4 linked regions of the Lonchura striata genome follow. The protein of the gene in region 3 interacts with the protein of the main gene of each other region in a pairwise test. Links are inferred from orthologs where the notes say so. Each region holds a gene or a part of one and is shown on either strand. Other genes may lie near its edges.

What was found.
Region 1: the proteins of THAP1 (region 3) and ZNF385C interact in a two-hybrid assay, tested with the Homo sapiens proteins (3 studies listed by BioGRID). The two-hybrid records come from large-scale screens. The link is inferred for Lonchura striata from reciprocal best matches to the Homo sapiens genes THAP1 and ZNF385C.
Region 2: the proteins of THAP1 (region 3) and AP2B1 interact in binary tests that used the Homo sapiens proteins (3 or more experiments, as listed by UniProt). The two-hybrid records come from large-scale screens. The link is inferred for Lonchura striata from reciprocal best matches to the Homo sapiens genes THAP1 and AP2B1.
Region 4: the proteins of THAP1 (region 3) and BAG5 interact in binary tests that used the Homo sapiens proteins (3 or more experiments, as listed by UniProt). The two-hybrid records come from large-scale screens. The link is inferred for Lonchura striata from reciprocal best matches to the Homo sapiens genes THAP1 and BAG5.

The regions. Positions count from the first base shown.
Region 1 is NC_134627.1:6,449,618-6,457,486, reverse strand, and holds the start of ZNF385C (zinc finger protein 385C), read right to left. Parts: upstream 3,008-7,869; 5' UTR 2,920-3,007; coding exon 2,883-2,919; intron 1,214-2,882; exon of another isoform or gene 1,129-1,213; coding exon of another isoform or gene 1,113-1,128; intron 1-1,112.
Region 2 is NC_134622.1:5,985,516-5,993,107, forward strand, and holds the start of AP2B1 (AP-2 complex subunit beta), read right to left. Parts: upstream 3,008-7,592; 5' UTR 2,933-3,007; exon of another isoform or gene 2,924-2,932; intron 2,884-2,923; exon of another isoform or gene 2,860-2,883; intron 1-2,859. Other genes in the region: PEX12 (peroxisome assembly protein 12), read left to right, coding at 3,073-3,198, 4,177-4,721, 5,373-5,772. UniProt on the Homo sapiens protein: Component of the adaptor protein complex 2 (AP-2). Adaptor protein complexes function in protein transport via transport vesicles in different membrane traffic pathways.
Region 3 is NC_134642.1:4,505,245-4,512,760, forward strand, and holds the start of THAP1 (THAP domain-containing protein 1), read right to left. Parts: upstream 3,012-7,516; 5' UTR 2,910-3,011; coding exon 2,839-2,909; intron 2,183-2,838; coding exon 1,987-2,182; intron 1-1,986. Other genes in the region: transcription factor Jun, read left to right, coding at 7,002-7,516. UniProt on the Homo sapiens protein: DNA-binding transcription regulator that regulates endothelial cell proliferation and G1/S cell-cycle progression.
Region 4 is NC_134608.1:10,005,181-10,012,704, reverse strand, and holds the start of BAG5 (BAG family molecular chaperone regulator 5), read right to left. Parts: upstream 3,012-7,524; 5' UTR 2,940-3,011; intron 2,365-2,939; 5' UTR 2,336-2,364; coding exon 983-2,335; 3' UTR 1-982. Other genes in the region: COA8 (cytochrome c oxidase assembly factor 8), read left to right, coding at 3,129-3,227, 4,144-4,341, 5,398-5,461, 7,422-7,512. UniProt on the Homo sapiens protein: Co-chaperone for HSP/HSP70 proteins. It functions as a nucleotide-exchange factor promoting the release of ADP from HSP70, thereby activating HSP70-mediated protein refolding.

The sequences.
Region 1 (7,869 bases), on a different chromosome or scaffold from region 3:
GCCACAAGCCCCCAGAAATATTTCTTACTCTTGGGACTGTTACAGCAGCCTCCTGATCTCTCCATACAGAGCCTGCTGCTCTGTCAGACTTAAGCAGCACTTGGGAAGCGAGAGCAGCCACTCTGGAGCCCCGGCCAAGCATGATGGCAGCTCAGGGGTGGGAGCTCAGGGGTGCCAGCTCAGGGATGCCAGCTCAGGGACGGGAGCTCAGGGATGCCAGCGCAGGGATGCCAGCTCAGGAGTGGGAGCTCAGGGATTCGAGCTCAGGGATGCCAGCTCAGGAGTGGGAGCTCAGGGATGCCAGCTCAGGGACGGGAGCTCAGGGATGCCAGCTCAGGGATGCTCGTGTACGAGACTCGCAGCAGAAGTCACAGCCTGGCATGATGCCACAGCCCTGCTAACGCAGAGCCTGGCTCTGGGCTCACAGCCGGAGCCACATCCAGGGTCACACCAGCCTTTTTTTCCAACGCATGTGGCAGATTAAAGAACAAGCACCCTGCCCTGAACTCTGCATATGGCAGAGAATCACACTGGCAGCTACCAAGGGACCAACACGGCTCCTCCATCCCCACGGAGCCCTTCCACCCAAGTGACAAACATCACTCAGCAAAGCCTCTGGGCTGGATGCTCCACTGGAAAACACCTGCAGTCACGGAAAAAAAGGCAGTGGTGGTGGATTTGGATGGTGGTGGCTGAAGAAACTCCCAGCCAGGCTGGCAGCCGGGACAGAGGCTCATTTATCCACAGGCTGTCACACACAGTAACACTGCCCATTGGTGCTGTTTTCAGGCACCGTGCCCCACATGCAGACACAGCAGCTCACAAACATCTCCACTCCCAACTCAGAGGTCCCAGGTAACCAGGGGATGAAGCCAATGTGCGCACAGCACTGAGCAGGGCAGGGCCAGCTCCTGCCTCACATTTCCACCCAAAATTCGTCCCTGCGGGGAAAAGGTGCTGCCATACTTTGTGGGACCCACAGACACATCCAGTCCTTGCAGGGGCAGCTTTAGCAGCAATATGCCAGTGAGCTGATCCCTGCACACTTGTGAATGAACCTGGAAGCCCCTAACAGCCTCCAGGAGTGCAATTCCAGGCTCTAGACTGCTCACCTCCACAGAGAATCATCTCTTCTATTTAAGCAGCACTTTCAAATCTTGCTCCGAAAACAAATCGCAGCCTCTTGTGCCAAGATGTTGTTTTCCCACACGCCCATCCCGCAGGATCGGCACTCACCGCCCTGCCACGGCGCTGCCAGGGGCGGGCACAGGCACGTCCCTGTGCCGGGATCCGTGGGGTTTGCTCTGGGGCAGAGCAAGCCCCAGCCCTGCCCACCCCGATGCAAACTCCCTAAAAGCTTCCACCATAACTCGCTGCTGCTCCAAGCTAACAACAAAGTCTGTTGGTAATGGCCAGGGGAGAACCAGGTCAATCTGCTTCTGCCTCCACATGCCTGGAGCAGGGGATCCCGCTGCTCCCACCCGGAGCCACAGGCAGCAGAAAGCGCTTTTGTGCAGCTCTCTGAAGGTCCTTTCCCTCCGAGCCAAGAGTCCCGTGGAGGCCGCCAGAGCCTCGGCTGCGTTCCCAGCTCAGCTCCTCGAGTCCCGGTCCCGGCACGGACGCTGCAGCTCCGGGAGCTCTGCGAGGAGCCGGGGCACACGCAGGGTGCGCTGGGCACGGCAGCGGCACAGCCGGGCCCGGCGGGGCCGAGCACCGCTCCACCGCCCCCTGCCCCGCCTGGGCCGCGCACCGGGGCCACGCCGCGCACCGCAAACCCGGGCCAGGGCCGGGCACCGCAAACCCGGGCCAGGGCCGGGCACCGCAAAACCGGGCCAGGGCCGGGCACCCCAAACCCGGGCCAGGGCCGCGCACCGCAAAACCGGGCCAGGGCCGGGCACCCCAAACCCGGGCCAGGGCCGGGCACCGCAAAACCGGGCCAGGGCCGGGCACTGCAAACCCGGGCTAACACCGCTCACCCCACACCCGGGCTAACACCGCTCACCCCACACCCGGGCCAGTGCCGCTCACCCACACCCGGGCTAACACTGCGCACCCCAAACCCGGGCTAACACCGCTCACCCCAAACCTGAGCTAACACCGCTCACCCCACACCCGGGCCAACATTGCTCACCCCACACCCGGGCTAACACCGCTCACCCCACACCTGAACCAGTGCCGCTCACCCCACACCCGGGCCAGCACTGCTCACCCCAAACCCGGGCCAGCACTGTTCACCCCACACCCGGGCTAACACCGCTCACCCCACACCTGAACCAGCGCCACTCAGCCCCACACCCGGGCCAGCGCCGCTCACCCCACAGCCGGGCTAACACCGCTCACCCCACACCCGGGCTAACATTGCTCACCCCACAGCCGGGCTAGGGCTGCTCAGAGCCCCATACCCGGGCCAGCGCCGCTCACGCCCAGGTGCTGCCGCAGACCCCAGACCCGCACACACCCGTGGGGGACCCACGCCTGCACCCCACGGTGCGCGCACCCGGCGGGGACGAGCCGGGGTTACCGGCACCGGCGGGTCCCGCTCGGCGTGGGAACCCCAGCCCCGCGCCGGAGCGGGGCCGCGCCGGGGCCTCGGTAAAGTTCCGCTCAAGAAGTTTCCCTCCGAGCCTGACCCCTCCGGGTGGTCAGCGGGGCCGGGGTTCCGCCATCCCCGCCGCCCCTGCCCCGCTGCCCGGCGCCGCCGGGATGGAGCGCGGGGAGCGGCGCCTGCCCCGGGCGATCATCCGGCCCCGATCCCGAATCCCGGGGCCCTTCCAGCGCATCTCCCCCCTCCCGCAACTTTCCTTAGCCTGCAACTCCCCGTGTCCGCAGCCCGGCCCCGCGGCCGCCGGTACCGGCAGCCCGGCCGCCCCCGCCCGCCCTACCTGCCCAGCCGCCCGGCTCCGCCGCCGTCTGCAGCATCCTCCCGGCGGCTTCTCGCTCCCGGCCGTGCGAGCGCGCTCGGGGAGGAGGAGGAGAAGGAGAAGGAGGAAGAGGAGGAGGAGGAGGAAGGGGGGGGATGAAGGCAGCTCGCGCGCCGCCGCGGTCCAACCCCCCCTCGGCGCCGCGCTCCCGCACGGAGTGGGAGGGGGAACGGCGGCGGCGCATCCCGGTGCTGCATCCCGCAGCTGCATCCCGCAGCGGCGCAGGGGCTCGGGGGCATCCTCCCCGCTCTCGCTCACGGCTGCCCCGGGCTGGGACTGGGGGAACACAGGGCAACTCCCCAGGCTCTTCCCAGGGGCTTTGGGGGTCGGTAAGGTGCGCGGCTAGGAGCGCAAAGGGAGGTGACACCGCGGGGCTGTGGGGAGGGCACCTGAATTTCAGGGTACTGAGATGCCGTGTGCGACCAGCGCCCCGGAGAATGGCGGGTCAGGTCTCAGGACGAGGGTCTCCAGTCCCGCACCCTGAGCGGCAGCAGACAGCCCGGCTCCCCACGGAGGTGGCATCGCCGGGGGCTGCAGCTCTTTGCGGATGGCAGAACCCCTTCTCCGACCCTGGCCCAGCAGGGAGGGACAGAACCTCGGGCAGAACCTCCGAGAGGCTGAAGAGGAACCGAGGGCGGGATGGAGGGAGGGGGCCTGCCCGGAGATGCTGTTTGCTCCTCAGTCAGCGCAGCGGGAGCGCACGGTGCCGCCGGGCAAAGGCGCCTCTGCTGCCATGCTTAGCCTTGTGCTAAGATCAACAATTTTAAGTGCAAAAGTCTGAGCTGGCCTGTCGCTGTCATCATTGTTAATATTTTAGCAGCTCCCAGAACCTTTCAGCAGGGCCACACAGTGCTGACACAGGAGAGGAGATATAAAAGCATCCTGCTGCCCGCCCCAAGGAATACGCTGTCTAGACACGTTATATAATCACATTTTGCCCTCCGCCAGGACACTTTGCAGAGGATCTCAAAGCACTTCCCAAAACTGCTAATTGAACTTTGGAGCCCAGCTGGGAGGGAAGTGCTCTGGCCGAGAGCTCTCCTCTGGAGCAGGTACCCAGGGACTCCTGTCTGCCAGAGCAATTGCCTGCTCACTGCTTTGCCTCCACTAAAACACGGAATTGGTGCCAAGAGGCAGAGGTGTGATCGGCCCCGAGCTGCCGCTGGCAGAGGCTGGAGGCTGCAGAAGTGGGGCAGAGCACGTGCTGCTCCAAACCCCTCCGAGCCCACAGGTGCCCACACCTGCAGGAGGCTCCAGGGCCACCAGCTGCCAGGGAGGGAGAAGCCAGGAGCGGGGAGTCCCAGTTTGAGCTACTTCTGGGTCTGGAGATCCTGCAACACAAGCAGGTGGCCCAGGAGCAGCAGATCCTACCTGTCCACACCAGAAGTCCCTTGCCCCGCTGCTGTCAGATTCAGGTCCCCAGGAGCAGCAGTGTGGCACCACTGAGCCTTGTCCTGGCTCACCATAAATCACTTTGGCTTTTCAGAGCCCTTTTGCCAAAGCTCAGTGCATTTGTTTGCTGTGCCATCTGATTTTCACAATGTAGGATGGGTTTTTTTTTTCCCTCCCTATAAATAATTACAGGCACTCTAATGGATCTCAAACTTTACTGTACCTTGGCTGTCAGGAGCTTGATGATGATGGTGTAGCCTTCTTCTCCAAGGAGCAGAGGCAGGGCTGGGGCTTCTCCACACATTTTTCATTTACTTTAAGCCTTTCAGCCTCCTCCTGCCTCCAGCAAAATGCAGGAAAGGGACTGTACTCCCCTGCCAGGTGTGGGGATCAAGAAGTGCAGGGATGAGGTGAGGGCTGACCCACAGCTCCCAGCATTCCAGCACTGGGGAGTGTGGATGCATTCCTTCCCCTCCATGCGAACTCTGGCTTCCCTCTTCCAAGGGCAGCCCTTCATCCCTAAGACACTGTTTGTGCCAAGACCACGGTCACCCTCAAACATTTTGGTTTGCTGCAGATATCTCCAAAGCCGAAGACAAAACTCGAAACAAAGAGAAGGTCATCTCCAGCTGCAGCCCCCTGAAGTGCCGTGGGACAGAGCAGCAGAAGGCACAGCACATCCAGCCCCTCCATCACACTGTAGTTGCTCACAAAATTTCTCCCGACCCAGTTCTCAATTCTGTGCAGCAATTTTGTGCACTTGAAGCAGCAGAAATGAGCCTCTGAGGAAACAGGATGGGGTGCTGCCAGGAGGGAGGGAACTGGGAGGGAATGGGCACTGCCAGGAAGGAATGGGCACTGTCAGAGCAACACTTCCTCTTTCTTCATGCCTCTGGAGCTCAGCAGCTCTGCTTCCAGCAAACAGGGAGTTTTACAATTAGACCAATGCTCTGCATCCTTTGGCAGCTCTGACATGCCCCCACACAGGGAGGTGCTGGCACTGCCCAGGGACACTGTGGTGGCACCTCTCCAGTGGGACAGGCGATGGGTAGGTGTGACAAGCTGTCCCAGACGTGATGCTTCGAGACATTGCCAATCCCAAATGTGGAACCACAGTGTTACAGTGAGCTCATGGGCACTCTGTGCCCCCTTTCCCAGGACCCTGTGACTCTGATCAGGATAACCCTGGACCCCTCCTTCCTGCCCTGACAGGGTTGGCGGAGAGCCAGGGAAGCCCACCCTGTCCAAATTCTATACAGACCCCTGACATTTCCTGTTCGTTCTCTTTTGCCCTGCTGTCCCTATGGACATCACAGAATAAAGAGAGCTGAACCAAGTATTTCAGGAGTAAGAGCCTCTTTTGGAAATCTTTGCCATCTCCTGATATTCCTCCCCTCACAGCCTCGGACCTGTGGGCTAGCCTGATAATTTAGGGGGCTGAGAGGGGGGAAACATCACCACAGGACCCCAGGGAAGGAGGATTCCTTCCTGCAACACCCACAGGGGTCCCACAGCACCAGCTGGCTGCAGTGCCCATCTCTCCAGGTGCAGTTGGAGCTCTCTCCTTCCTCGGCCAGCGCCAGGCAGAGCTCAGCTGCTGGGTACAGAGGCCGTGGGAGACAGAGGGCAGAGGAGGGGCTGTGCTCAGGGGCTGAGCCAGCCAAGGAAGGTGAATGTGGGGTGGTCAGGCCCAGCACCACTTCCCAGGAAGGCTCTGGCTCCTCGGCCACCGCGCTGAGCCGTGCCAAGCTGCTCCGGCAGCTGCCGTGGCCGTTCAGCAGCTGTTGAGCTGTAATTGCTCATTGAGTCATAATTTATTTTTTTTTTCCCAGTGAAAGCGGCGCTGTCAGGGAATTAAAATCTTTTCAAAAGGCCATAAAGATTTCATAAACGCTTCAGAGCCAGATCAGGGGGGGTTTAGCACCTTCACAGCCAGGATCCAGGGAAGGCAATGAGGAGACCAGAAGTGGAACACTTGACGGCCGTAACTGGTTAAAGGAACGACAGCACGGGGCAGCACCAGCCCACGGGGAGCTGAGCAGGCTGCAGTGCCCCTGCCTGCAGCCTGCTCAGGGCAGCACTGCTCCCCAGCCCAGCCTGGCTGCAGGGGCCCAGCTGGGCTCCAGGTGCCTCAATTCACCTTGATTGCCAAGACACGCTGCTGACCTGGCTGTGGGGTGTGGGATGTGACACCACAGCAGCTCCAGAGCCAGGAGAGCAAAAAGCTGACGTGAGGGGACTGCAGCTGCACCAGCCCCAGCGTTTGGCTCTCACCTGTTTCTCATCAGCTCAATTAGCAGTGACCCAGCTATGGCCAGATGGGAAGTTCAACCCCACAGCCAGCGTGGGCGAGGGGCACTGACCCCACAAACACCCATGTTTGAATTCAGAGGTGTCCTCAAAAGCAAAGGTTTGCGTTCTGGAGGAGCTGTTGTAGACATGGAATAAGGTTTTGCACTGCTGCAGCTCTTCCCACATCAGCAGATGTTTGCAGGTGACGGAGGAGCCACGTTCCCACCAGCAGCCCCTGTGCCAGCCTGGGCACCTGCTATTTTTAGTGTGAGCCGCCTTTGATGGTCTCTCTGTGAGCTCTGCAAAATATCTGGGCCAGGCAGATGCAGCTCCCACAGCCCCACTCTGCCACAACACACATCTCAGGGAAGGACTCGGAGATGCTGGATGAACTCAGCTGGGACCCCCGTGCCCTGAGGGATTGAATGGGCAGAAGCTGTGCCCCCCCAGCCCCACAGAGCTGGACTTTTGCACCCCAGGATCTGCACAGCCACATCAGCAGGGCAGTGTTAACCCTCACCCTAAACCTAAACCTCACCCTAACCCCACCCCTGGCACCGGGCACCGTGGGCAGGACACCCCCATTCTCTAACTGGGGTGCAGAAACAAGAGCACAAATGGGTCAGAGCTGAGCTCAGCACCCATTTGGGCACCCATGGGTGCAGGAACTCCCCCACAGCTGCAGGAGGAAAAGAGGGACTCCCTGCACTGCTCTGGAGCCTGCTGGCCCCAGCACCTCTCACCAGCATCGGGCATCGCTTGGAGAGGCACCTGAGCCACAGAGGCACCAATAAATCATCGGTAGGGGAGAGGCTGCTGTTATTTTATGGCCGTTGTTATTTCCTTCCTATTGTAACTTTTAATTAAAATCTACAGAAGGCCGATAACTGCTTCCTCTGCATAATTGCAGGGAGTAAATTTTATTATATAGGAAAGTGGTTTTAATTTTTAATGGACTTATTTTTAAGGAAGAGCAACACTTCGGAGGGATCTGTGAGCCCCAGTAACATTATCAAAGGCAAGAAGAGGAACAAAGATGGGTTTATTACCTGTTCCCCATAAAACTGTTATTTTAGGGGAGTTTTGTGCTTCCTCCTAATGAGAGATGAATTGCACCAGCTTCATTTGCTGTAGGAGGAAAATTAAAATGAAACTGATAAGAGCCAAGCCTCTAGCTCCTGACTTACCTCCCAATTATAAATGAAAGCTCACAGGCATTCCAGAGATGGGGCTTGATGTCTACATTAATTATAAATAAATTATC
Region 2 (7,592 bases), on a different chromosome or scaffold from region 3:
CTTAAAGGCTGCCAGCAAAGCAGTAAATCATCTGTTCTCTAAATGCTGCCTTGTCTTGCCTCTAAACCCTGCAGGTCTTGCTGGCTCAGCAACAAAAGGACCAGCACAGCTTTGAACTCCAGGACTGCCCAGCAGCAAAGTCAGATTGTTCCTCCTTAACTCCTTCCTCCCTCATCCCTTCACCAACCCCAATGCCATCACCATTCCATTTTTCCCCATCCACCTGGACCAGCTGAACACCTCAGCAGTTGAATTCCAAGCAGCTGCCGACGGGCAATGCCCCAATTTCCACCCCTTTCTCCTGGGATCATCCTTTCCAATTGCCAAACATCTGCATGAGGATCAACCTGTTGCTTTTCCCAGTTTCCTGGAGCTGCTGCCTGCCCTGTGCCCACCTGGTTTCCACCTCATCCAATTAGGCTGAATTACTGGGTTTGGTTTGATTTCTCTCCCTTTCTGCTCCTGCCAAGCCTGGAGACAGCTCTGGAAACACATTCCTGGTGCAGAGGAGGTTTAACCTCCTTCCAAAACAGAGTTGGGAAAGCCATGTGAGCCACAATGAATGCAATTCTTCCAGCAAAAATCTAACAGCCCCCCCTGAAAGCAGAGGCTGCTGTGAAGCTTGTTTTGTAATTAAAATCAGAGCCTGTGCTCAGCTGCAATATTACTGCTGACAGAGTCCTTCAGGTTTGAGCTCAGCTTAAAAGGAAGACTTAAAATGTTTTTCTCTGTGAGAGTATTTGGCACAGTGCCATGCCCAAAGCACTGAACGTGGCCTTGATGTTTGCATTATGTGGGGATTTGTCATCCAGGGTCACATCTCAGCTGAGCTGCTCTAACACAGCTTTAACTGGGGCCAGAGCAGATTAGAGAGAAAATGGAGGGGAGGGAAAAAAAACCCAGCCCAAACACCATAAACATCAGCCCATTTGAATAAAGCCACACACAGAGAGGAAGGAACCCTGCTGGCTTTCAGAGATGGTTGTTAAACCTCAAGTGCAACATATTTTGCTGTTTTTCTCCTTTCATATACTTGGAAACATGAAGAATCCTAGAAACGCTCAGACAGGGCTAAGCACAGCTCATGCCTTTCCAACCTTCTTTCATGGATCTAAATGAGAGCTTAGGTCAACAACCAGCCTGCCCTATTCCAGGTGCAGCAGAGGGTAAAGCTCCTTTTCTCACAAGCACACAGATTGCTGCTTCATGTGTGTCAGAGCTTGCTTTGCACACTGTTCAGAGACAGCCTGCCAGCAGCACTGGCTATTATCTCATCACTAACAATCTCAGCATTCTTTACAGCAAATGGAACCAGATATTTAAAACACTGCTGTTTGTGTCACTGCAGAAAATGCCAGCTCCTTGTACGCAAATCTAAACCCAGGAGAGCTAAGGTAAATTAGAACATCAAGAACAGCCTTGTATTTTCAGAAGAAAAATCTACTTTAGACTGCCCCTCCTCACTATTGTTCTATGCCCAGCACTTGCTGAGATGGAAACAGGTAAGAGGTGTTCAAAGCTGACAGCAAAAGGCTCCTCCTGATCCAACCCCAGCAAAGGAGAAGAGATGAGAATGAGGAATGGCTCCAGAAAGCTCCAGCAATGCTTAATGCTACAAACAGTGGCTTGATATTTCAGTGTAGGCTGAACCAAAGCAAGATAAGCCTCCTCAGCCCCAACCCACACAGAAAACCTGACCCTGTGTCTGACCAACACCTGCTTGACCCCACACATGACCCCAGGCAGCCTCACCCGCTCCCCAGCACTGACCCCACACAGGAGGGTGACAGGTTTAAGGGTCTTGGATTAAGGCAAGCTCCTGGACACTGAAACCATCAATCCCTAAATCTCTCAACTGATCCCTGGTTTAATTCCAGTGTAAGTGGTGCCACCCATTTTTCCTGGAAAGCCTCTCAAGGAGCTGTGTGACAGCCCAAGTGTGGCCCAGGGCCACTGGAGAACCAGGAAGATAAACACAACAATGGAACATGGATGGCAGAGGAAGAGCTGCTCTGCAGCCCTGAACTTGTGCTGGCACAAGGATTTTGTTCCCATTCTGGAGACGCAACACCCCCTTGGTGGTCCCCATTCCACCTGTTCCTCCTACCACCTACCACCATTCCTTGGAAGCCCCATCCCAGCTTTGCTGCCAGCCCCTCCCACACCTCCAGCAGGACTCCCAGCACCCACCCACACTCCAGACTGGCATCCCCCTAAGCCCCCTGCCCACCAGACCTTCCCCAGATCTCTCCCAGGATCCCCCAGCTGCAGGCACATTCCCCACAAATCCCAGTTTCCCTCCCAGCATTGCCTGCCAGTCCCTCTTAGTACCCAGCCCTTATCCCTAACTGCTCCCACTGCTACCCCAGTACCTTGCTGTGCTCATTCCCATCCCAGTCCATCCTCCAGCACCCCCACCTCACCCCAGGACCCACTGACCCCACTCCTCACCCCTCCACCTCCTCTGCAACCACCTGCCCACTCCTCCCATCCTCTTCCAGTCCACCTCCAGAACCACTCCCAGTGCCTGACCAGCGACTCTCCCCACGCCACTCCAGTTCCCCCTCCCAGGAGCACTCACCCCCTCCCAGTACCCCCCTGGTGCCCCTTCCCACCCCACCCCAGGTGTCCCTCCCAGTACCCTTCATCTCTCCCAGTATCCCCTTCCCACCTATACCAGTGCCCCCCAGTATCCCCTCCCATCGTCCCTAAGCAGCATCCCTCTCTCCCCGCCCCACCCCAGTACCTCACAGCTTCTCCCCCACCCACCCCTCCCCACCCTATGGCAGCACCCCACCGCCGCCCTCCCCTCTCCCAGATCCCCTCCCAGCACCCGCTCAGCCCCTCCTCATTCCCCACCAGCGCCCCTCCCCGCCGCCCGGCCGCCGCTCCCAGCGCCCTCAGCCCCGGCCCCCTCACGGACCGCACTCACCGCTGCGGGGGCGGCGGCGGCGGAACCGGAAGCGGCGGGGCCGGGCGGGCTCGCGACGGCCCCGCCACCATAGAGCGGCGGCGGCGCGCGGCGCGCGCTTCCGGGAGAGCCCCCTGGCGGCGGGGCGGCGGGCCGGCGGCATGGCGGAGCTGGGCGCGCACCTCACGGCCGCCCCGGCCGGCGAGGAGCGGCCGTCCGTGTTCGAGGCGGTGGCCCAGGACAGCCTGATGGCCGCCGTGAAACCCGCCCTGCAGCACCTGGTCAAGGTGAGGGCGAGGCGGGCCGCGGGTGAAGGGAGAGGAGGGGGGGCTGGCGTGTGACTCCGGCCGCGCTCAGGGGCAGCGGGACGCTTGGGAGCCACCTGAATTGTGGTTGTTATGTGTAATAAATATAATTTGCGCCATTCCTTGTATGAAATATGTAATATTGAATACTTGTTAAATCATGCCCGTCGTATTAGTTCGCCCCGCACCCTTGCAGGCGAGACTGGGTGTATATTGGAAACTGATTTATAAGTAAAAAGATGTGGCTCGGCCAGGAGCTGGGCCATGGCTGGGCTCCAGGTGTTGATCATCGGTGCTGATCGTCCAAGATGGATATGGAAATCCTCAGACAGATCCATGTGAATGCAGCCTTCCCGTAAACTCTCATCAAGAATTCAACTACTCCGGACATTGAATTATTTCTCCTCATCACCAAAAAAAGAAAATCTTATTAACCTATAGACTCTGAATAGAAGAAAAGACTAACTGCTGGAATCTTGGCCTCAGGCGGAATTTTCCCTATAAAAACCGCTTGTACCAGGATGGAGGTGTGGGCATAGGAGAAAACCTCTGCTGAGGCTGACTCCTTGTTGCACACCCAGGGTCGATCCCGGGCTCGGCTCTGTCCTTTCTGTGTGGCTGGCTAGATAGAATTTGACCGCAAATAAAATTATTTTTATTTTTAATCTGGCTGAATAAATTCTCGTTTATAACATGGTGAGAATGAGAGGCATCGTTTATAGCTGCTCTGATTTATAATTTAGCGCTTTACTCTGCTTTTTACATCCTTCCCTTCCTCAGGCACAGGCTGCCCAGAGAAGCTGTGGCTGCCCCATCCCTGGGATGTTCAAATCCAGATTGGACGGGCCTTGGAGCAGTCAGGGATAGCAGAAGGTGTCGGGCTGGAACCGCATGATCTATAATGCTCCTTCCAGCCCAGACCACTCTGATTCCTCCTGTTTTGTGTCCCTTTTCCAACAGGTGCTTGCTGAGTCTAATCCTGCCCGGTATGGGTTCCTCTGGCACTGGTTTGATGAGATCTATGTCCTTCTGGATTTGCTGCTCCAGCAGCACTCCCTGGCCAGGTGCAGTGCATCCTTCTCTGAGAACTTCTACAGCATGAAGAGGATCCCAATGGGAGATGGCAGACAGCGACCTCTGGCCACAGCTGGCCTGCCAAAGAGGCAGCACTGGAAGTCTCTGCTCCTGCTGGTTCTTGTTCCTTATCTGAAAGGGAAGCTGGAGAAACTGGTGTCCAGCCTGAGGGAGGAGGATGAGTACTCCATCCACCCTCCCTCCTCATCCTGGAAGCGCTTCTACAGAGCCTTTCTAGCTGCCTACCCCTATGTAAACATGACCTGGGAGGGCTGGTTTCTTATCCAGCAGCTCTGCTACATCCTGGGCAAGGCTGAGCATCATTCCCCCATGCTAAAGCTGGCTGGTGTCCGCCTGGTCAGGCTGACTGCAGAGGATATCCAGGCCCTGGAGAAGAAATGGGCTGAAACCACCTCAAGTCAAACACACAGGTATGGCAGAACCTGGCTCAGGTGTTGCTCTCCAGGGGGTTCTGTGGGCATGTAAATTTAGAGATGATGCTGCAAGTACAAGTGCCTTGTTCTCCAAAAATTCAAGATGAAAGTTTGCTCTTGACAAAATGTGCTCCAAAAGGATGTATTGTGAGTGAAAATAAGTAAACCAGTAGCAGGGATTAGCTTTAAACTATTTTGTGGTAATATTTCAGAATTTGGGGGCGTTTTTGGGCATGGAAGCCTTTATTCTGTTCAGTCTTCCCCTGCACTTTTCCAGCAAAGGAGGTGCAACAGTTGCAGCAATGTTGCTGAAAGGATTGAAACTTCTTTCTTTGATTTTCCTAAGCAGCAGTTAGTCATGGGCACACTCAATACCCTGTGATGCAGGAGTGAAACACTCTGTGGTCCAGGATCCTTTAATCCAAATTCTTCTGATTTAGACTTCTCAAAAAAGCAGCATTTGGATATTCCTTAAAATAAAAAAAGTATCTGAAACATCCTAGTAAGTGCAAATAGGGGGACGCATTGACCAACTAACTTAGCGTTAAGGAGCTGTGTGAAGCAGTCACTCCCCAGGTGCTTTTCCCATGGTTTCTAGATGGATAAATGTGCAGTAGTAACCACCTCTCCTGCTTCTCTCTGCTCCAGCTTTATCTCACGAGTGCAGTTGGCCCTGAGGAAAGCTCTGGCTGGCATTGCCTTCTCCCTGTCCACCGGCCTGTCCGTCAGCGTGTTCTTCCTCCAGTTCCTGGACTGGTGGTACTCCTCAGAAAACCAGGAGACCATCAAGTCCCTGACAGCGCTGCCCACGCCCCCACCGCCCGTGCACCTGGAGCAGGAGCCCGGCTCTGCTCTCCTGCCCAGCCTGAGGACCGTGTGCCCCCTGTGCCGCAAGGTCCGCGTGAACGCCACGGCCCTGGCCACCTCCGGCTTCGTGTTCTGCTACCGCTGCGCCCACGGCTACGTGAAGGCTCACCAGCGCTGCCCGGTCACGGGCTATGCCACAGAGCTGCAGCACCTGGTCAAACTCTACTCCCCTGAGAGCTGAAGGGCTGCCAGGAGTCTCCAGCACCTCTTTGTGCATCCCTTGGAAGGCTTCAGAGCACCGCAGCTCCTCGGTGAGCTCTGCAGCGCCCTTGGACTCGGTGGTTGGTCAGCTTTGCTGCCTTTGCACACCCTGGCAATGCTCTGCCCTTTGCTGATAAGCTGTTCAAACATCCTGGCAGTTGCAGAGGGATCATACAGCCCCTGCCTGTCAGCCAGCACTGAAGTGCCATAAAAGACCAGCTGAAAGGGAGGAAACATTGATCCTCACATCTACATTCCTCTTATCCAAATCGAAGACCAGCACTGGTGCTGCTTGAGGGCGTGAGCCAGCAAATTAAAGAGGTAGGGAGATTCTCTAGGCATGTTTTTCTTCCCTGGGCAGCTTCCCAGGCCCTTGTGCTGCCCAGGGTGAGCTCTGGCTTTGTCAGAGGTGGAGACAGGCTTAAACCTGTGCTCTTCAGCCTCCTGCATTTTCAGGCTCTTCATCTTGGAACTGAGAACATCACCCTCCAAATTCCCATCAACAGTTCTAAATTAAGACTTTTGACTGTTTAAGATGGACAAGAGGAATGTGACATTTTCTGCACAAGAGAGAAAATGACAAACCAGATTAAAACAAACTCCCAATTGATGAGAGGGGTTTATTGTTAAAGAAGTCTTTTCATTCATTATTACCTGCTTTTATAAAGCGAAATTCTTTCTTGACTGAGAACCTAATTTAATTCTTTTCTGGTTATTGAAAAAACAGCTTGCTTCTCTGGGGAGCAAGAGAGAGACATAAGAGAGACAAGACTAAAGCTGCTTTCATTTTTCCATGTGATGGTAGTGGATGTAAGATTAGCATTTTGTAGGCTGAGAATCTTTAATGTCTGAGCATTACATTGCAATTATTCCATTCCCAACCATGTAGCACATTCATATCGGAACAAAACATCCTTCCACTGAACAGAGGAGGAAATAAAAGCTGTGTGACATGGCTGGCTCTTGCTTGACACCTGATTTTTCAGATGAAAGGTTGTTTTCCTTACTCTAGGGAGCAGCAGTACTCCAGATATCACGGTGACAGTGCTTAGAGAATACAAGAGCAAAGTCTGCTGCACAGAGTCCAGGACCCCACTCTGGTCTTTCCAGATTTAGAGATATTTTCTAACATTTAATCCAGACATCTCATTTTCTCTCCACTTTAGCTCTGCTTCAGAAGATAAAAATCCCCAATATCCTCCTTCACCTGTAAGCAAGAGAATAAGGTTATTGAATAATGTGGGAAAATGCAGTAATTTGAATCTTCCCCAAACACCTAATAAACGAGATTTGTTCCTGGTGCTTTATTATCTCTGTACACCTCCCTGACCCTTCTACCTGTGCCACTATGGAATAATAAAAACTCTGATTTATCTTCTCCAGTAGCTATGGAGTCCATGAAGATACTTCTCTTCCCTTTAGAGAGCCAGTAAGGACACACATCTTACTGGAAGATGAATCACGTCGAGGTGTGAGATTTTCTGAGCTTCCACATCACTTTTTTGTTAATGTCGTGGTGACTCCAATGCAAAGCTCATTTAAATAAGCATTTGATTGATGATTGCTTTTCAGGATAGGTTTATTTTCCTGCACAGAACCACCCACATCGAAGCCTCCCAGTTCTGAGCAGCTGCAATTACTCTTTTACACAATTGTCCTTTAAAGCTTAGCTGAGTAACAAGTGTCAAACCCACCATGGTGACAGGCTCAGCAGTTACCTGGCAGATTTTGTGTGATCCTGGAGATGGCTGCAGGATACCAACTGGGATTTGACTCCTTTGAAACCTCCTGTCCTTAGCA
Region 3 (7,516 bases):
ATCAGATCACTGCTGGACTGCTGAATTCACAGAGACTTCTATTTGAAGCTATAGTGTATATGCTACCTCTATATACAAATTATTATGGTCACAATGTATCACAGAGAACAGAGATCTTTGGTAACTCTATGACATCAGCAGTGACTTCTAATTATTTATTCTAGACAATAAGTACTTCTCCTAAGACATAAGTAAAGAAAAATAAAGTATACCAAATTACACAGAGTGACTGTATTTCAAAATCCATGTAGATTCAACTCCAAAACAATCACAATTATTCTTTGCTATTACAATGTTACTTGAAGATTTATGGCAGTTTGTTCAAAAGTGCCATGAGACAAATAAAAATAGAAATAAATCCTTCAGAATTAAAAGGCACTCATTCTTCTGTGTTTTTGTAGATCCAGGTATGACAGTAAAACTGGAAATGTGTCTCACAACTAATCCTGCTGCACCAACAGTGCTTTTGCAGACTACCCTATACACCCATTCAGCTTTCAGACTAAAAAAAATTGCAAGTATTCTACACACAACAAAGAAAATGTGTATTTCACAGATAAGTAAGGAAGTGCAATCAAACAAAAACACAACTGTATTTTCCTGTAAGTTGTCTGTCTCCTTGTTTACATTCTGTTTATATTCTTATCTGTTATTAGCCACTTTTCATTTTTCAAATGTGTAGCCTTTTTATTTCTGCAACATTCCAACATGTTACATAAAGAGAAAAATTGAACAAGAAAAATCTGAGTTTTACTCTGTGCACTTCATCCCATTTAAGTCTTTTGCTCCCCAAACCTACTCTATCTACGACTGTCTCCTTTGCCACTTTCTCTATGGCAGAGCAGAAAGAGATGAAATGTTTTATATCCTTTAAAGGAGTTAAAAATCAGTCTTTTCCATTCTTGTCTTGAAGTCATTACATCAAGGAGAACTCATAAGTGACCTGCATCTCACAGTAAATTGTTCTAGTGGCACAGTGAAGGGAAGAACACCTCACACAGAAGCCTCTACCCTCAGAAGTCAGGGACAAGTATGGCTTTTGAAAACAATGTTAAGGCAAGACAGAGGTGCTCTCAGGACAAACAGATAGCAGGTGCAGGTAAGGTTCTGTCGCTCACTTTTACTTTGCAAAGCCAAAGCACAGCCCTCTGGTTAAGTTTCACAGTTAACATCCACCATGTCTTCAATGGTTAGGGTTAGGGGAAGAGAGCAAGTGCCATTTGCAAGCATTAATGATGGCTCTCAGACCCTGAATATGCAGGAATTACTGTGGAATAGTTTGACTACAGGGCAACACCTTCTTACTTTGCTGCCATTCCATTTAATTCAGCACATGGATGCTGAATAAACAGACACACGAGCAGGTCAGAGCCAGTGTCTGCCTGTACAACAGTTTGTGATCCAAAGCCTCAGAGAGCCTCAGAGAAAACAAGCACGCTATTGGAGGTGTTTTCAGTCACCACAGCCCTGCTGGTGACCCCAGGCCCAGCATCTTGCCAGCCTCCATCCTTTTCCAGCCTACATCTCTCCCTGCTCGCTGCCCTGCCACGCTGCAACCAATGACATACACAATATGTCCTAGCACCTGCAGGCATGGGTCCTTTGGGTTTACCTTTTTGTGGGATTCTTTAAAGTCTGAGGGTTTTAGGCACATTGTAAAAGGTAGGTAAAAAGAGACAGCAGGATGGTGATTTAGAGGTAAGCAGTAGCTATAAGATTTGTCAGCAGAAAAATTATACAAGAAGTAGAAAGGACAAATATAACTACGGTCTGTGTATTAACGCTTGGGTAGAATAACTCCTGTAGAAAAGTATATCTGCTGAGATATTAGGAAGCTGTAAGCTTAATAATGGAGCTCTGTGTATTGTATCCCCATTGTCAAAACCATGTAATAAGACTGATATGAAAAAATAAACAGCCTGAGACACGTTCCTCAGCGGTCCCGTCCCGTCCGTGATTTGTACATAGCCCCCCAGCCAGCGATACCTTTTCACCGGGTTCAGTGTAACAGAATATTGTGGGCACTGCATTCTCTTTTAGGAGCTTGTTATTGCATTCCCTCTTAAAGCAATCGGGGGTAAAATGTTCTGAGCAAATGCTGCTGTACTTGGTCGGCTTGAAGTTTTTCCTCTTAACAGCAGCTTCCCACTTCTTGCAAAGATCGGGTCTCGTAAGAGGAAACCTGCAAGCAAGAGGCACTTTCAGCTTTTCTGGAAAGCTTGATAAACGAAGCCAAAAATCTTCCTGCCCCTCATCGGGGTGAGGAGGGAACGGGGTTTCATTGCTCGCTGTCGCTCTGCAACAGGCGGCTCCGAGGGTCCCGTCCCTCCGGCTTTCCCCAGGGGAGATTCCGGGGCGGGGGGCAAGGCACCCCAGCCTCAGGGGCAGCGAGGGGACACGTCCCCCTGTCTGTCTGTGCCCGATCTGTCCCCCTGTCTGTCTGTGCCCGGTCTGTCCCCCTGTCTGTCTGTGCCCGGTCTGTCCCCTTGTCTGTTTGTGCCCGGTCTGTCCCCATGTCTGTCTGTGCCCGGTCTGTCCCCCTGTCTGTCTGTGCCCGGTCTGTCCCCCTGTCTGTCTGTGCCCGGTCTGTCCCCCTGTCTGTCTGTGCCCGGTCTGTCCCCCTGTCTGTCTGTGCCCGGTCTGTCCCCTGTCTGTCTGTGCCCGGTCTGTCCCCCTGTCTGTCTGTGCCCGGTCTGTCCCCCTGTCCCTCAGCCCGACCGTGAGGCGCGCCCGCCCGCGCGCGCTCCCTCACGGCTCCCCGCCACCCTCGCGCGCGCGGCCCCGCGCTGGCCCCGCCCCTCCCCGGCGCGACCCCGCCCCGGCGCCGCGCGCGCTCACTTGTGGAAGGAGATGGGCTTCTCTTTGTCGTATCGGTTCCGGCAGCGGTAGGCGGAACAGGACTGCACCATCCCGCCCAACCCCGCGCCCTCCGCGGCGCGGCCCCTCCGCGGGGATGGACGAGCCGGCGGGGCGCTGCGAACTCACCGCAGGGCGCCCATGCTCCCCCCGCCTCCCGCGGACCCCCCCCCCCCCCACGCCCGTGGCCCTCCGGAGAGGGACGGGAACGGGACGCGCGGCCTCTCCCGACTCCAAGATGGCGGCGCCAGCTTCAACGGAACCTCTCGCGGTAGCCGCGCGCGCCGCGCTCCGCCCATTGGGCGCGCCGGCGCGCGGGGCGGGGCGGGGGCCTCGCTCGGCGGGCTCGCCAATCCGGCCGCCTCCTCACGCCGCTCCGCCCCCGTCTGGGGCCGCGCTCCGCCCCCGCCCCGCACCCGCCGCGGGGCGGGACCCTCCGCTCCACACCCACAGCTGGGCAGGGCCCTCCGCTCCACACACGGAGCAGAGCGCCGCGGCTCTACACACACCCACAGCTGGGCAGGGCCCTCCGCTCCACACACGGAGCAGAGCGCCGCCACTCCGCTCCACACCCGCAGCTGGGCAGGGCCATTCGCTCCACACACACCCACAGCAGAGCAGCGCCCTCCGCTCCACACACGGAGCAGAGCGCCGCCGCTCCGCTCCACAAGCTGGGCAGCGCTCCACACACACCCGCAGCTGAGCACGGCCCTCCGCTTCACGCACACAGCTGGGCAGAGCCCTCCTCTTGACGTACACAGCAAAGCACCACCGCTCCGCTCCACACCCACAGCTGGGCACGGCGCTCCGCTCCACAGGCTGAGCAGCGCCCTCCGCTCCACACCCACAGCTGGGCAGTGCCACTCACACCCCGCACCCACAGCTGGGCAGTGCCACCCACAGCTGGGCAGTGCCACCCACACTCCGCACCCACAGCTGGACAGTGCCACTCACACCCCGCACCCACAACTGGGCAGTGCCACCCACAGCTGGGCAGTGCCACCCACACCCCGCACCCACAGCTGGGCAGTGCCACCCACACTCCGCACCCACAGCTGGACAGTGCTACCCACACCCCGCACCCACAGCTGGGCAGTGCCACCCACAGCTGGGCAGTGCTACCCACACCCCGCACCCACAGCTGGACAGTGCCACCCACACCCCGCACCCACAGCTGGACAGTGCCACCCACAGCTGGGCAGTGCTACCCACACCCCGCACCCACAGCTGGACAGTGCCACCCACACCCCGCACCCACAGCTGGACAGTGCCACCCACAGCTGGACAGTGCTACCCACACCCCGCACCCACAGCTGGGCAGTGCCACCCACAGCTGGACAGTGCCACCCACAGCTGGGCAGTGCCACCCACAGCTGGGCAGTGCTACCCACACCCTGCACCCACAGCTGGGCAGCGCCGTCCGCCCCATCCGGCACCATCTGGGGAGCGCCTCTCCGCGCCCCATCCGCAGCAGGGCAGCGCCTCCGGCCCCGCCAGGCACAGCCCCGGGGCCGAGGGCTGCGCTGCGGCCGTCCCTTCCCTCAAGGCCGCTCCGGCCGCGCCGTGCCCACAGTGGTGGCCGGGGATGGCTGCCCCAGCGCTGTGAGCCCCGCGGGAGGTTCTGGCTTCCTTCGGGGAGAAGAATAAAAAATTTATAAAAAGGAGGGGCGGTGGAAAGGCAAAAGCAAACAACGGGAAGACCACGTTGCTATAACACACAGTTGCATTAAGGTCGTGTAAAACAACTCCGTGTCACTCGCCTAAACGTAGTGTGCAGGTGCATCAGCAGACAGTAGATAGATGTCTCAACAAATCCATTTGTTGTTACAAATAGGTTTATTTTGAGCAGTTTCAACATGTTACCATTCTGTGGGCTCACTTTTGAACTCTGCATTCGATCAACAACTAAAACTGTCCTACATAAGTGACAGTTTTTGTATAGGAATGACGAAGGAACCTACCTTTAGGATCACCCCAGTCAAGTGTAATGGTATATTCTAGAAATTCACTGACAATAACCCCAGACCTAAATTAACCTCCATGGCTTTTTCTCTGACCCCACTCAGCCTACTTTCCCCGTCTACACTTGCTTTGTGAGGGAAAGAAAATAAGGTTTATTTGCCTTGGCTTGGAGTCTGTGGCTTCTCTGCCTAGACAGCTCTCTTTGCCCAGCTGATGGAAGGGACCAGTCACTGCCACTTGCTTGCCTAGGAATATGACAGAAAAGCCTGTACAGCAGCTTAATCTATACTTCCACAAAGTCACTCACATGAGATGTTTTCAGTACTCTGTTGGCTGAGCACTGTTAGCTCTGCTGCCTCTTTTGCTAGGTCAGCCAAGAGACAAGGAAACCAAAATAAGCTCTTTCTAGCACTACCTTCCTCACCAAGAAAAACATGCTTACTCCTCCCCTACCCATGTGAATGCCTCTGTCCCTGGCCTGTGCCTGATGGCTTTCTTCTCCCTCTGTTGCCAGTTTTCTGGGCAGCAATTCTGCCACAGCCTCAAGAACCAGAAGAGCTGGGCTTTGTCCCATGGCAAAATGAGCTAGGGGTGACCAGAACCAGGCTCACCAGCCTGGACAGAGTCCTGCAGCACGAGAGCACGGCAGGCACGAATGGACACACCCACACACGGTGAGGTGATGAACCAGGTCCACCCAGGTAATTCAGGTAGGAGCAGCAGGAGATGGTACCAGGAACAGAACTGGAAACACAGGTCCAAGGTTCACCCAGGAGATGAAGCAGAAGAGGGTGACACCTGTGACACAGCCAGGCAGGGACTGAAGGTGCTGGACAGTGTTGAAAAGGAGCTCTTGCACCCATACGTAAGAATTGGCAGCCCCAAAGTACTTGCTTGAGTCAAGGTCATCAAAGCCTCAGTGCACCTAGACTCCAGTTCTGTGGACTTGAAGAGGGATTATGAGTCAAAGTCCTGGACTTGATACCACTGTCCATCTCCTCCTCCACTGCTGGTTTTGGAATGAACTTTAGGAACAGGGGGGCAAAGCATGGCCATACAGATCGTGCTAAAAGCAGAACTTAGCAACTTCTCTAGACACTGTGAGAAGAGGCACATGGTCTTGATATGTAGGAAGGAAATGCCTGGGGAGAAAGCATGAAAGCATGAGTAGGTTGCAGAAGGTGACACCTAACTGAGGGGGTCCATCACAGATGAGAAGGTCTTGTGAATGTGTAGATAAGCCACTGAGACCATCAGTCACCAAGCTGATTTTAAAGACTTAAAGCAGAGCTTTCAGCAGCTCTGTCAGGATCACATTGGTGTCCTGAAGCAAAACGGATTTAGAAAAGACTGCGTAGAAAGAAATTTCCTTATCCCATAAGAATTTGAAAAACTTGGGGAAAGGCAGAGGCAATTGTCTTGAATAAAATAACAAATAAATACAACCTCCAAACTGAAAAATGCTATTCACATTTCAGTAATTTTGAAAATGTTGGAAATATGTCTAGGATGTTTCAAATTCTTTTTCTTAATTTTTTTTTTTTTCCCAGGGAAAAAAGGCCACATCAAATCATCAAATTCATGGCCTTCATCTTCTGAGTGACTTTTAGTTTGACTAGTTGGAGTTTTTCATGATGGCCAAGCACTTCCCGTCAGACTTCCCAGCACTGTGTTGTTGAGAATCACTAGTCCTCGACACCTGCACTATCCTGTGCCCATCCATCACAGACGGAACGCACCGGCACCTGCCCCAGCAGCCGCCACGCGATGCCCTTGCTCGCTTTCCTCCTGAGAATTCCCGGTCCTCGGGCCGGACTAATGGCCCCGAGAAGACTCCCCCGTTCACGGAGGAAGGCCCCAGCAGCGCCTTGTTCCCCACACCGCAGCCGCGGGGCGAGTTTCCGAGGGGGAGGAGCAGCGCGGGCTCCCCACGGACACCCACCGGGAAGCCGTTCCGCGCACGCCCGGCGGGCGGGGGAAGGAGCGGGCGGGGGGGACCGGCGGCGGCAGCAGGGAGGCGGCGACGGCGGGGCGGGCAGCGGGCCCGGGGCGTGGCGCGGTCCGGCGGCGCCGGGAGGCGGCTCAGTCCCCGCTGCCAGCCGAGGGCGGCCGGCCCCGCGGAGCAGCCGCCCAGCCCGGCCCGCCCCGCGCCGGAGCCGCCGCCGGCCGGCGAGGGCGGCAGCATGAGCGGCGGGCGTAGCGGGCGATCCGCCGTGAAGATGGAGGCGCCGTTTTACCCCGAGGAAGGACTGGAGCTGCTGCCCGACTTCGTGCCGCTGCCGGGTTTCGGTACCGCCGGCGGACCCGGAGCCGATGCGGCCGCCGGGCAGAAGCTGCTGCTGGGCGCCGGCAAGAAGCGGGACCTGCCGGCTGCCGCCCCCGCGCCGCTCCCGGGGCCCTTCGCCCTTCGCCCGCCTGCCGGCGCCCGCGGCAGCGCGGCGGCTCTGCGCTTGCTGCCGCCGCCGCCCGCCGCCGCCGCCGCCCCGCCGCCGACCGCGGGCTCCGCGGAGACCGGGAGCGCCGGCGGGGCGGCGGCGGCCCGGGGCGGCCCGGAGGCCGCGCTGGGGTCGGCTGCGGAGCTGCCGCTGCTGAAGCTGCCGCCGGCCGCCGACCTGGAGCAGCTGCTGATCCAGGGGGGTGCGGGGCTGGGCGCGGGCAGCCCAGGGCCGACGGCACCCGGGGCGGGGAGCGGCGGGGC
Region 4 (7,524 bases), on a different chromosome or scaffold from region 3:
ACACACTTATATCATTAGTGACATCTTTATAGCTGGCTACCTAATTTACAAAAATAATTCCAAAATGCACATTTCACTTCAAAGTGAAGTCTCTTTTTATGTTTTCGCCAAATGTGAAAACCAGATGCAACAGCAGAGTTTAAAAAGACACCTAATTAGCCTAAATAAAGTTCAGTGCAGTTTTCAAGGGTTTATGGATGGCAGTTTGAAATCCTCAAAATCCCCTTTATGTGTTTGGTATAAACGTACAGATTTTCCTCTCCAAGTCTCAGTACCTTAAAGCAATAACTTGAAAGAATTTCCACCAACAAAAGACCTGGTTTTGCAAATCAAAGGTCTCAGGTATTACAAAAATTGACATAATTGGCTTTGCCTATGTAAATGCTAATTTGCAGCTGGCATTACAGCTCCATTAACTGAGATATCTAGATGGCATGATGGATGGGAAAAATCAAGTACAATCCAAAAGCCAGCAGGCTTTTTGTCCTTAGAACTTTATGTCATGACAGCACATTAACAGTACATCCAGACTGCTGTGAAGTTGCTGGATGGAGCCTCATGCCTGAATACTAATTTTCACGTTCACTAATTTTCAAGTCTCCTTAAATAGTTTTGCCAGTACTGTACCGTAAGGAAGTTTCTGTGTCTTTGAAAAGCCTGCATTCACTAAACATTGCACAAGGCAATTGAAATAAAAACAAGAAAGAAAAAGAGAAAAAAGAAGAAGCTATTTGATCAAGTATTAAGCTATTCCTTCAGAGAATTGCACTTTGCTTATATCAGTGACCAGAATTGCTGATGGTGTACTGACAGTTGCCATGGCAAGTGGGTGACTGCGTGGGATAGCAGACATATAGCCAAGTCAACTGCTTATGCAATTTCCATGATTTCAGCAAGCACAGAAGACTTTATTATGTGCTGCCAATGATCTTCATAAAGTGCCAAAGGGAAAAATGTTCTTCTGTATCAGGCCATGGCTGTTTCAGTATTCCCATTCATCTGTTTTCATGTCCAGATAGTAAAGAATATTCTGTGCAAGCTTTACTGCCTGCTTCCTAGCAGCCTTACACCGCTCATCACCTTGCGGATCAACAGCATCCAGGGCTAGAAGTTGTTTTGTAAGAAGTTCTTCCAGTCTCATGTAATTTTTATCTGTTCTGTTTCCATCAAATGAAATCACCTCTTTCTGAATTTGAGACAAGTTTCCAAGTACAGTCCAAACTGCTTTATGAGACTGATGTTCAGCAGCAGTTTGCTCTGGATACATTTGCCTTTTTTCCAATGCTTCCTTCAAATCAATATATGTTATAAGAGTCTGAACTTCAATTACTGCTCTTCTCCTGGCCTCTCTAATACAGGGATTTTTTCCTGGACTCACTTCATCTAGGTGGGCAATTAGTCCCTGCAACTCTGCTTTGGATCCCAGATACAAATCAGAAGCATTCTCTGTTTTTAGAAGTAAGGAATGAACTTCCTTCATCTTCTTACGGATCTCTTCTATTTTTAGAATAGACTGATTTTTTGCCAAATCATAAGCATGACTAGAATCTGCTTCTTCATCCAAGTCCAGGTATTTCTGCAATTTATTGATCTCTTCTACTACTTCCTTTCTGTAGTTTCTTATTTCCGTGCGACCGCAGACATCTAAAGCATCCAAATCAGCAATGAGGCCTGTGAGCACACAGGACAGATGCCTGCAGGTATCATTACTACTCACTCCCATTAGAAGTGCAATGAGAGTTCCTCTGGCTTTGTTCACTTCACACATTACAGAGTTAATTTTGGAGACAGAAGGATGAGCATCATTAGAGAGTGGCAGGGACAGCTGTTGCTTTAGACCACTCTCTATAATCTCCTGAACAGCACATATCTTTGTCAGAGTGCGGTATCTCGCTTTGCGTAGAGAAACTTTGCCTCCAGTTTTCACCTGTGTAAGCCTCAGCACAATGTCCTGAATTCCTTCTTCAAATTCATCACTTATACGGTTTCCTCCTTTGTAAGAAGCCGTGATCTCGCGTTCCACAAGTGACTGTGCCTCCTTGAATAAAGCCTCTATTTCCAGTCTGCGCGGATGGTTTGCATTTTGTTCCAGTTCCTTCAGCAGCCTCTCAGTTTCCTGGGCAGCTCGCTTTCTGGCTTGCTGAATATCCCCCTTCCCTTCGGTGTCTACAGAATCTATTTCAAACAGCTGTTTCGTAAGGCTTCTTTCCAATTTCTTGTAATCTCGGTCGGTGGACAGACCGCTGAAGCCAGCCACTTGCTGTTCAATCTCTTTGACTTCTTTCTGGATTTCTTGTAACCGTTTTATGGATGGGTGTTGGTTACCCATATCCATTCCTCTTCGCTCGTCCAGCTTCAGATGAACTACAAGGAAAACGATAACAAGACTTAAGCGCTACACGAGCACACATCGCAACTTTTACATTCTGAAGCACTTCAGCATTACAGCTATTTTAAGTATCTTCACCAATACAAATAAACCACTTGGCTGATGTTTCACAACCCTTTAATTTTTCCACACCTTTCCAAAGGGGGGACGCTTTAGTTGCCACACGCCCAGCTCTAGGATGTTCACCCCCAGCCTTCCGCCCTGCCTTCCCCACCTGCTCTGCAGCTGCAGCCGCCGCAGATCAAACAGGGCACCCGCAGCCCAGGGGAGAGCCCGCAGCGAGGGGGGGAACAGCGGCCGAACCCGGCCGAACCCGGCCGCCGCACCCGCCGAGCAGCGCTCCTTCCCGCACACACCTTGCTGCCCCTCAGGACTCGCCGCCCCCTCCATGGCCGCAACCTCCCGCCTCCCCCGCGGAGGGGCCCGGCGCACCGCGAAGAGGAAACGACACCGGGCCGCCGCCGAGGCACCTGCGGGAGGCCCGTCCCCACCGGCCCCGCAGCGAACCCGCGCGGCGCCCGCGACCCGCCGCAGCCGCTCCCTCACTCACCCGCCGCCCGGCGAGGCCCCGCTGCCCGGCCCGGCGCTGCGCCACGGGCCGAGCGCCGCGCAGCGCCCGAGCCCCGCCCGGCCCGGCCGCGCACGGGGAGGCGGAGGCCGAGGCGGCTCCGGGCCCGGCCCCGACCGAGCCCCGCCCCGCCCGCGGCCCCCGCGCGGCGGCGCCGGAAAGCGCCGGGCCATGGCGGCCGCCCGCGGGCTGCGGGCCGGGGGCTGTTACCGCCGCCGCTCCCGCTCCTCCGCCGCCTCCTCCTCCTCCTCCGAGCGGCCGGACAGCGTGGTAAACCCGGCGGGGGGCGGCAGCTCCTGCGGGGGAAGCCCCGCGGAGCCCTGCGTGGGGAGCGCTCCGCTCCTCCCGGGAACGCCGGCGGGGCGGGGGCGGCCGTGGCAAACCGCGGTGCCCGCGGCCTCTGGTTTTCGATGTGTTTGTGGAGGCTCCCGGTGTTGGCTGTTGGAGGGGCGCTGAGGTTCGGGCTGTTGGCTAACGCCAGGTGTTCCTGAACCCGGCTGGGGCAGGCACACGCCTGTGTGTGGGCACATGAAAGCAGGAAGAACACCGGGCTGAGGAAAACTTAGAATCGTAGAATTATAAAATACGCTGAGTTTCAAGGCCCCCACAAGGATCACCGAAATCCCATTCCTGGCCCTGCACAGAGCAGCTCTAAGAATCGGACCATTGAGAGCGTTGTCCAAAAACTCCTTGAGCTTGTCATGCTTGGGGCCGTGACCCTATCCCTGGGGAGTCTGTTCCGGTGACCATGACCTCTGGGTGAAGAGCCTTTAATATCCAGCCTAAACTTCCCCTGACACAGCTTCACCCTGTTCCCTCGGGTGCTGTCATTGGTCACCAGAGGGCAGAGATCAGCGTTGTAAAAAACTTGGATACTTACTTGCTAGTTCCCTCCGTGAAATACTTTAACAGAGTATCAGTGGTAGAAAAATTAAAACAGAAAAAGATATCTCACGATTTATGCTCATGGTAAGAGTTAAAGGTCTTGTAGTGCATTTGTAAGTAAAAGTAAATTGTAAATGTATGCCATTGTTTGTGGTCACAGTAAACAAATGTGCTTTATTTCTGAACTTGCTACGCTTGCACGCTTTAAGGTTCCGAGGCGTTTGGGCATTCATTCCGAGTTGAGACGTTCTTCAGCAGCTCTGCGGCGGTGCTGCTCACACCTTGTGTCTGTGTTCCACAGGGCCCGGGTTTCCGTCCCCCCGCGCACTCGCACAGCGACTGGATCGGTCCCCCGGACAAGCTCTCCAACCTGCGCCCCATCATCTTCTACGTGCCCCCCGAGGAGTCGGCGCTGGAGCGGCGGCTGCGGGAGGCGCGCCAGGAGGCCCAGGCCAGCAACCAGCGCTTCTGGGCACGGCACAACCGCGCCTTCCACCAGGTGAGCACAGCCTCGCACCTGCTGCTGCTGCTGCTGCTCAGCACCCGCCTGCCTGCCCGAAACTGGGGGGCTCGGCCTCTCTGAGGTGGGGCGCAGCTCTGCCCGCTGTTAATGCGCTCAGGGTCATGCAGGAAATGGCGGGTTTGTCGTTCATTTATTTAAATGATGCACAAAACTAAGAAGTCCACGTTTTATTGCTGCCTAGGGGCATAGAGTGTTTACCTTTTTCCTGTCTTGCACTGAAAGTATAAAGTTGTAGCTGCCCTACATGCAAGACCTGTCTCTGACTAGAGCAGCTGATGAAAATTATTCCATGGCTGGCTTTTCTCTTGTCATAAGTGAGAGAAATTTGGTGTAATTACAAAGACTAAATGAGGGTAAATAATATGTCCCATTTCATTGGCAGCGTATCTTAGCAAGGCTAAAGTGAGTGTCTTTCCTGATTTTAGCATCTCCCAGCCAATGTGGCATTTTTTGGAAGAACAGTAACAGTTCAGTAACTCACCACTGTTTATGATGTTGAACATCATATCCTCTCAAAACTTGCAAAGATCCCAGAACAAAATGAATCTTGTTTTTTTTTTTTTTAATACCACATAACTGTGGTATTAAAAAAACTGTTTAAGTCCATGAAACACACACAAATGATTATTGTGCTTCCATCTAAATAGTTTTAATTTTTTTAGGCTGCACCTTTTCCTCTATGCTCAAAATCTCAGTTATGTCATACAGCACATTCCATAGTTTATATAAACTGAAAGTTTGACTCCTGTCGAACAGCACTGAAGTTTGTCTGTAGCTTTACTTCACAAATCAGTTTTATAAGTATCAGTAGGACATTTGCATTAATTGATGCATGCAGGTAGCAGGAGCAAAGTGACCAGTTTTAACTAACTCACTGGACTAAGAAAAGTGTTCAGTTGACACTTCCAAGTGTAACGAGTATTGCTAGTTATTTCAAAGGGTGTTGAACACGACATTGCTATGTAATTAAAAACAATGGTTAACTTCAAGGACTGACTGCATCCCATTCTAATGTGGAAAAACGTGTTTTAGGAAAAAGAAGAATTTATTTATTCAAGACTGAAAGCCAAGGGTCTGGAAATGAGAGATGAATCAGGTTAGTGAGATCTTTGTTAATAGTTTAGGATGCATTCTGAATTTTGTTTAACTTTGAATTTTGTTAGTTTATGCTCTTTGTGTTCTGCCACAAGTAAATCTTAGGGGTAGGATTTAGAAATGTTTTCAGGAGTGTGATAATAAGAGAGACAAGGAGCTTTTCAGAGATGTGCATGTGGGGGTCAGATCATTTGTTGCACTCTCTCCCCCTAATTCCTTCCCCACAGCCAGAAGGAATGTTCTGAAATCCTAGCCCAGTGATATAATAATGTAGCCTAAGGAGGGAAGGATTTTTTACTTTCACACCTCCTAAGCCAGTGAGCTGGCTGACATAAACATACAGAGCATTTGCCTCAAGTGCATGTTATGGCTGGGCGGTTAAATTCAGAGTCTTTGGCTTCAGGTCCGTGGTGTGTCCAATGAATGCAATATTTTTCCTTGAGGGAGTGTAAGGCAGCTTCTGGGGAGCTGGCAGCTGCTATCTGCCTGTCTCTGCCTGGGCACAGTTGCTGTAAAATAGTTGTCTCTCTAATTCATTATGCGAAAATGAAAACAAAATGCCTTCATAATAATCGTGAATTGGGCATTGTGGTATGAGGTTGAACACTTTGTTCACGGAATAATGATCTGTTTGAGTTCAGGGAAGCATCTGCTTTGAGGTTCTGTATGTCACAGACCATTATTTTTCTTTTCTGTTTGTATTCTGGTGATCAGTGTGTGCTTGAGAAGTAATTTTAATTAAGATATATGTTGTTTCAAAACCACTTCTTTTATATTGCTTTTTTGTTAGGTTTTTTGTTTTGCTTTTATACTCTAGAAGTAAAAGACCACATACTTCCAGTAAAAATAAATCTATATCAGATGCATGCCTTTGGTCAGCTGTTCTATAATATAGCTGTGAATGTTTGTGAAAATATTAATGAAGAGTGAATGAAACTTGCTTTCCTATGTAATTAATCAGTTTTGCTGATACCAGTATGAAGAAACAAATGAACTATAAGTATTAAACTGGCAGCCTTCAAATGGTTTTATAGTTAATTTGTCCCATTGTCTGTTAATACATTGTGATATATTAGTTTTTAAATAATGACAAATAGAACCAATCAGTAATTTACATTTCTGTGGTCAATCTCAAGAGCCTTAAAATGTATTTTGGAACTGTAACAAGTTGAATATTGCAATTCCATTTCCCTCATCATATCCATGTTCTCTAGGGCATTGAAATTTGACTGTCATTTTAGGGACATTTTGTGCCAGAAGGGTTGTGTAGGAATTGTCTGGTAGAATTGAGAATATTTGCTGGTTCTCAGGATTAGACATCTTATGCTGTAGCCATAGGTCTTCCTGGACCTTTTATATTCTGCTTATGGGTGACATATTCAAAATCATCTTTTGTATTTCCTTCTTCTCAAAATAATTGCCTACTAGATTGTTTGGAATCTGACATCTCAGAACATAAACTTTTTGCCTGCAGTTACTTGAAATTTATTAACAGCAATATAAAAAGAATTACATTTGAAAATACCATGTCAATTGTGGATAGTGTTCTTTTGATATTTATGGACTTGCTTTAGGGGGGAAATTGTTACTAAATGCTCTTATTGGTACTCTTTAGGCTTCAGACTGTGAGAAATTATTTTATTCAAAGGATAGATACTCCTAGATCTATGCACATTTTAATAGGGTTCACTGGTTCCCTAAGTAGTCTAAGAGCTGGTAAACTTTGTTACTTCCACAAGTGATGGGTGTTTAAGAGCTATGCCAACTTCAAGATGATCAGTATTTTTCATCTGCTGTGCTCTCTAGATAAGTTTTAAAAGGTTGAAAGTTAAAGACATATTATTAACTTGTTGAGGTTTAACAGAAAGCTTGTAGGAGTAAGGAGTTAGACCTAGCATCTGAACCCACAGTCTTGATCCAAAGAATTGCCTTGACTTTGTTACACCAAAACCTATTTTCAGGTCAAAAAGCAACACTGAATGCAGAAGAAATGGCTGACTTTTACAAGGACTTTCTAAGTAAAAATTTAAAAAAGCATTTGCAGTACAACAGGTACGTAGAACG